2 linked regions of the Astyanax mexicanus genome follow. The protein of the gene in region 2 interacts with the protein of the main gene of each other region in a biochemical or structural test. Links are inferred from orthologs where the notes say so. Each region holds a gene or a part of one and is shown on either strand. Other genes may lie near its edges.

Evidence for each region.
Region 1: the proteins of TATA-box-binding protein (region 2) and gtf2f1 form a complex in vitro, tested with the Homo sapiens proteins (3 studies listed by BioGRID, with this or other methods). The link is inferred for Astyanax mexicanus from reciprocal best matches to the Homo sapiens genes TBP and GTF2F1.

Annotation. Positions count from the first base shown.
Region 1 is NC_064426.1:8,389,177-8,393,012, forward strand, and holds the start of gtf2f1 (general transcription factor IIF subunit 1), read right to left. Parts: upstream 2,957-3,836; 5' UTR 2,761-2,956; intron 1,424-2,760; 5' UTR 1,370-1,423; coding exon 1,358-1,369; intron 1-1,357. UniProt on the Homo sapiens protein: TFIIF is a general transcription initiation factor that binds to RNA polymerase II and helps to recruit it to the initiation complex in collaboration with TFIIB. It promotes transcription elongation.
Region 2 is NC_064414.1:38,662,273-38,665,872, reverse strand, and holds the start of TATA-box-binding protein, read right to left. Parts: upstream 2,118-3,600; 5' UTR 1,968-2,117; intron 1-1,967. Other genes in the region: zgc:153169 (N(4)-(Beta-N-acetylglucosaminyl)-L-asparaginase), read left to right, coding at 3,269-3,377. UniProt on the Homo sapiens protein: The TFIID basal transcription factor complex plays a major role in the initiation of RNA polymerase II (Pol II)-dependent transcription.

The sequences.
Region 1 (3,836 bases), on a different chromosome or scaffold from region 2:
TTATTTAAGATAAGCAAAGCATATGGCTAATTTCCTAACTATGTTGGGAGTACCTATTCCAACATAAATGATGAAACTTCTAGAATACACAAATAAAGTATAGTAAAGGAAACTCATTTGTGGGTCCGTGTTTACAGCAACTTTTAACTTGTGAATAAGTCACAAATACAATTTAAACATGAACATTGCTTGTATGCAGTAACGACTAGAAGTGTTTTCGTAACATTCAATAAAATTTAGATTTTCACCGAAAACTATTAAACAAAAGTTGTATCATAAACCATAAAACTTATAGTAATTTGAGTTTCAATTTCAAGTTTTTTTAAAGACAAATACCGTATTTTTACACTATAAAAGGTGCACCGGATTATAAGGCGCACTATAAATAAACATAAATTTTCTGGTCTATTTTCATCCATAAGGTACACCTAATTATGACGCATTATGCGACACTAGTAAGGATATGGGGTGTTGCCATGTTTTCCTTCTAATACACCCAGTGGAGAGACATGTAAAGCAAGCAAAGTTAGATAAACAAAACTGTAATTCTTTATAAAATAAAAATCAAATTAGCACTGGATGTTTATCTACATAGATTTTTAGAAACTGATCATTTGGGTGAGTAATGTGCTTCCGTTTATTAACAGTAAGCTTAGATTTCCACTAAGGCTGGGTGCAGCAGCATTATCAATAGCCGCTAATCGCCTGTAAACGCTTCACTGAGGAACCCTAAGTGTTCTGGTAAGCCAGGGCGATATTATCTAGCTGTATAAGAGGCACCAGATTATAAGAGATGGGTGTGGTTAGTAATGTACATTAAAATATCAGAAAAATATAGTTACTGAAACATCTCAGATCGCAATACATAAATATTGAATTATTGCAGAGCTCTACCTTAAGGAGTGCTCACCAGAGGCAGAGTTGGTGACTCCTGCTATAAAGATGAAACTTTAACATTTACTGGAGTAATATGCTACCCCTGGGTATATCTACTTTAACCTAAATACATAGTGTGTGTACTTTGTCCACTGCTACCCCTCACAGCTAGACAGTGTAAAAAAGGATTTGAGCAACCACAAAAATTATTATCAAAAACACACTTTTCAACAAAATACAGAATCACCACTGAAACTGAAAGAAGCTGGAGTTAGATCTTTTTATGGTGGTGGTGACTAAAAGCCTGTGCCCAAAGCTGCAATGACTCATAGGTCCCTGACATAAGTTATAACACAAAGTTTACAAATATGCTGCCAGATAAAAGTATCATATACATTTCTGACAACAATATGTACCTAGCTTACAACTATTTTATCATTATCAAACACCATTTCATTCACATAAATAAATTACTCATTACCAGTGAAGTCATAGCGGCAGATCTCCTCTTGTCGTTCTCTCAGAAGCGAGTGCTGTCCGTCACCAACTGATGAGTATAGAAAAGACTTATTAGAATTTAAAAATTGTAGAATCACTGTTTAATCCTATGAAATACCCATTTTCAATACTTATGTTTTAAAAATGTAATTTACAGCTTGAAATGTTCTCAAATTCAGAGGTAAATACTGTTCCACAGCACTGTAAAGGTAAAACTCTTTGGATACTGCTATTGTATTTCTCAGTTTTTAGTCATTTGAAAAAAGCAGGTTGCTCAGTTTGACAAATTTCACACCATTCAGGCTGTCCATCTCCCTTCCCCAGTCACCTTGCTGTGTAGTGGTGGTGTAGACGAGAAACCTGGACTGCTTTAGACCTGAACCATATAATTTTAAGTGTGGAATCCAGGTTCTGTTAAGGATCTGACAATGTCAGGTTTGAATAGAGGCCTTGTGGTAAGCATGTTAAATACAGTAATTGCTCATATCAAACCTAGTAGTGATACAAAGGACACTAACAGTTCAAGAATATGTGCAGACCATCCTGGGATCACATGTTTTCTTTTATGGCAGGGCTTCCAACAGGCATTTTCAGCAGGATAATGCTCGTCCATGCATAGCAAGGCTTTCCCAGAAATGTCTTTGCCAGAGTGGCCGATGGAAGTTGTGAACATTTGTGGGCTGAAGCTGAAACCTGTATGCATCCTAACAGGGTACTTGAGCCCCCTTTTAATTGTACATGTTTGCTTTCTGTCAATAATTTAATTCTGTTTCACTAATATTGTCATTTTTACATACACTTACATGTACCATGTTTAATACCATATCTTATTTACTTATTTTTTTTAAATATACACATCTATATATAATATACATATCTACATCCAATAAAATGAGGCTTTTTATAGTCTTATTTTTTTAAGTTTTATGTATTATGTAGATTACCTTTTTAGAGTCATCATGACTGAAAAAGATCCCAAAGAAAAGATCTCCCAAACAGTGGTGTGATTTTTTTTTCCTCCCAAAAATATAATTCATGCCATAGAGGATTAAATAAAAATGTAAATGTCAGAATGACAAATAAACACTCAATCATTGGAGTTGTTTTTATGGTTTATGCTGTAGAGGCTTAACTTAACTAGCAAACTAATGTGTAGAAAAACAAAGCATATAAAATACTGAAATAATACAGCACAACCACTAACCCAGCAAACTTATTCCAAACATGAGCTGTATTTAGCTTAATGTGTGTACCGGTTTATTTAACTGATAAACGACATGTAAATAAAGAATAAAGCTGTACATATATATATACACCAAGAGACTCCGCAGCAGCACATTAAGGATTATTAAAACTCATCAGGTTAATAATCCGCTGAAAACTCACCGGACTCTCCAGCAGCCGCTACCCGGCGAAAAGCTCAACAATCCCGGCCTTCAGTTCCCGCAAAGCCGAGGCTGACCTCAACACCAGCAGCAGCAAAATTCTCCTAAAACAGAAGCAAAAAATCGTGTTAAAAGAAACGAAGCGACGCGAGAGAAACACAGAAAGAGACACGGAGCTGCTCACAGAACCGACCTGCAGCACAGCTCTGACCGGCCAGCAGCTCTTTCTCCCGGCTACAGCAGCGCGTGGAGCGGTGGGTTCGCACCGCCGCCTGGTGGTCTGGAGCAGCGGCCTGCACAATTAGGCCCAATCTCATTTCACCCCATGGCCCTACCACTTACCCCTACCCCTTCTTTTCTAGTGTAACACCTAGGGCTTGATTATTTTCCTTGTTAAAAAATATGATAATTACTATATTACCATAGTTTAATATGTAGTTTCAACATTTTGTGGCCATTTTCTTTATGACAAGCATTAAAAAAACGCTAGTGTAACAGTGTTAAAAATGCGTTTTTAATATTTAACAGATCTAATCAACTAAATAATGCATGTGCATGTGTTAGTTAAAAGCATTAAGTGTAATTAGTTAGTAATTAGTAACTCTGTTGCTAATGCTCGCTTATTCTGTCTAGGCTGGCTAGCTGACAAATTCAAAATTAGCACAAATTCTAATCCAGCAAGCTACCTATTGAGCCATCTACTACTTTCATCTACTGTTTTTTCCTTCAAACTGCAGACACACAGTCACTGTGCTAAAGGCACTCTCTCTCTCTTTATCTCACTCACACACATAAAATATAATATAAAACTCAGTTCAATTAAATAAACTTAAGATGAATAAGGACCTGTAAAGTTAATTAAAAATTGTCAAATATAAAAGATATTTTGAGGTTTTGGTGAGCTGTTTCCACAATTTGAAACTTAAACTAATGTCAGGTTTTCTGAATCAGAAAGCTTGTGAGTTTACATTTTTATTATTTTAAAATTTGAATTTGTTTTATTTCTTTATTTATCAAATAAGTTTTGTTTTATTGTGTTTTTTTTATTTCCATGTTCTTAGTTTAATATTATGCATT
Region 2 (3,600 bases):
AAAAAGAAAAGAAAAGCAGTTAGAAGACAGTAGATCAAGCAGCACAGTCAAATATTAAATGTAAAGCATCACAGCATGCACATGGCAAGGCAACAATAATTATCAGAGTTCAAGCTGGGCCTGATAGTTAGTGCCAGGTGGATGGGACATTTTATTTATGACGTTGTAATGGTATTTAACATTCTTCGATCCACATCAGCACGTGTACTGGGAACACACCGTAGAAGGCATTTTCACCCAAAGAAAACAGCACAGTAGATGGTAATGCTCGTGCCCAGCAGCATCTGAATGGAATTTTATATACCAATAATTTCTTCCAAATAAATACCAAACCATATTGAGTTTAGTTGGTATGTTTGCTATGATGTTACAAATGTTCTGTCTTCAATAAATACCTTTACATTGTGGTTTTGTATGTTTTTTTCTCTCTCAATTTCATTAAAAAAAAAAAACATTACTTCTACTTAGTTTCAGCTTTTTATTTCAGCTTCTCATCTTTCAAAAAACCCTATCCATGTAAATTCCTCCATGTGGATAGAGTAAATTTGATTGTGGCTGGATGAGAAGTACATGCATAACATTCCGAAATCCTGTTTTTTTACAATCCATCACACCTGCACATCAAGTCATACTCCAGCAAGAACTCAAGCTCTCACAATGTTCCACCTAAGCTCCTTTATTATATTAGCTTAATACTAAAAGGCATTCATTTTTTCAATTGACATATATGTGGATGAAACAGGCAGTCTAATGCATCCCATATTTGTCAACATTAACATTTTAATACGAGTCATTATTGCTTTATAGATAAATTTGTTTGAGGGGGTAGTGCACTATAGGACTCTGTGGCACAGATACTTCAAGTTTATATTTCTCTAGTATCCCTAGTATCTATACGTCTACCCGAGTAATGAATGTAAATAACAGACAACTTTGTTTAAAAGCACATCCATTCAATGTGTGTCAGATCAGAGAAAATTCATGTGGGTTTCAGGAAGTTTACAGAGTACCAATGAGCTCCTTTCAGACTCTCCCGCTAAGTGCAAACATTACCACAATAACACTCACTCATCCTCACAATCTCACAGCCCCGTGAAGAGAGCGAGAGAGATAGAGAGGCAGAGAGAGACAGGCAACCACAACTAACAACTGGACCTTCCATCATATCCAAAAATACATTTATTTTGGTATGGGGAGCTGTTTTAGTCTTAAAAATCACATCAGCAAGTTTCAGTGTAGATATCTTGAATTACTATGTCTACTGGTTAAAAACTTCATTATTGCTAGATGTGTGTAACTGGATTGTTTCTCCTATTGCTAAAATATTACGAATAGAGACGCTTGAGGCTCGTATATTTCTGTAATTATGTTTAGATAATTTAGCTAATGTAAACACACTAGCTACAATAACCTGCAAACGTATCAAAACCAATAGCTATTTTTTTCTTATTAAATGAACATACAAGCGAATTAAAGCTCGCAGAATTTAAGTGTAATTCATTTAACGCTAATTATGAAAAGCAAATGAGAAAGAGCGAATTTTTTTCCTGTAAGAAGCGTTGTTGAACAGAAATCAGGTCACAGTGAATGAATGGCGCTGTTCGGATATACAGCTACTGATTTTAACCAGAGTTAAAGCTCATATATTAATTAACCACTCAGCGATATAAACCCGCAGACTACACTAATCACGCAGCCCAAACTGCAGCTGGACAGCGCGTTAGACTCCAGGCAGCCCCGGTTAGATAAAGCGGAGGCTCGGCTGGGTCCAGGTTGCAGAAACCGCTGGTTAGCTCACTGTGCTAACTGTAGCCTGTCGTCGCTCCAACACTAACCCCCGCACTGGAACAACCAGCCGCTACAGTATCAGCACGGCAGAAGGGGCAGCCGGAGACCCTGAATATTACAATACACCCGTTAATCATTAAAACACTCAGAAATCAGATTAAACCCGCGTCTGATTTTACCTCCCCTCTCTCTGTGTCTCCGGGTGCGCGCAAAACACGGGACTTCACAGCAAGTTCCGCCAGCTTTACCAAACCACTTCCGCTGCTTTATATAATACGAGCACTAACCTCCACCCTCCCAAAAATAATATATAATGCATAATATAAATATGATATAAACGACTCTAATCGACCATTTAACTCCCAAAAATATATATATCCCCTCCTAAAAAATAAACATATATAATATAAATAAAATATAAACTACTCTAATCGACAATTTAACTGCCCAAAACTGCCTATAAATATATATATATATATATATATATATATATATATATATATATATATATATATATATATATATATATATATATATATATTACATATAATATAAACGACTCATACGAATAATAATAATAACAATATCAATAATAAAAATAAAATATGAAGTTTAAAAAAACGAAGATTTTTAGTTAAGTTTCACTTGTTTTTTTTTTTAAACCTCCAAAGATTTACATGAATATTAAAATATGAACGACTCTCTATCGATCACTATACATGTAATTTATTACTTATGAGTTCTAAAAAAATATTGATAAATAAATAAAAAAAACACGAATTAATTTTTTAAAGATTTTATTTGTTAGTTAAGACTTTATTAAGTTTTTATTTTGAAATTCTCGATTCTTAACTCCCTAACGCGGTACTACCAGAGATAGATAGTTTATGCCGAGACTGCTTAGTTTCTATCGCCCACGTTATGTCAGAAAATTACTGTGAACCGCTAGAGGACCCCGCGAGTGAGTTGGGGTGAACTTAACTAAGAACTTAGAATGAAGTATATTACTAAAAAATAAAGAAAAAAGTAAAGAAAACGTTAGTAAAGAAATATTACCATTTGTCTATAGCAAAAAATGTTTAGATAATAGAGACGCTGGCATTTCTACCACTGTGAGCTGAATGGTAAATATATTTAAAAGCTTTAAAGCCATTTTTTCGGTATTTAAAACATTTTAAATTGTTCCGTGTTGAGAATAATAATACAGTTTTCCGTATTAAAGTGATCAAACGTTTATTAACTATGGTTTTGCTCATTTACTCCATGGAGCCATTCATTTTGGGCTCATTTGTGAGCGCCCTCATGTGGTCTAACAAACTCATGTATGATTGTTATTGTGGATTAAGTGGGTATTCTCCTCTATTGAAGTTCTCTGGTAATACTTCAAAATATCAACCAGGTATTTTAAAACTCCTCACTGACGGCTCGTTCATCTGCTGTGGAGGTGAAGTCTGATCAGGGGTTGACAGTGACCCGCAGGATGGCAGCAATGGGGACCTGGTCCTTCTCTCAGCCCGCTGTAGAGAAAATGCGCTCTATGATTCTAGACGGACAGAACGCCACTGATGTAGTAGAGAGAGCAGCTGCAGGTAACCACCATTAAACCCTCTACATTAAAACTGTGCTTTCACTAGAAAATGAGTTTTAAAACACTTTCTCCTCTAAGCAATGAATAAACAGTTGTGTTATAGATATGTTATACAGCTCTGGAAAAAAAAAAATAAGAGACCACTTCAGTTTCTGAATCATCTCTCTTATTTTGCTATTTATAGGTATATGTTTCAGTAAAATAACCATTATTGTTTTATTCTA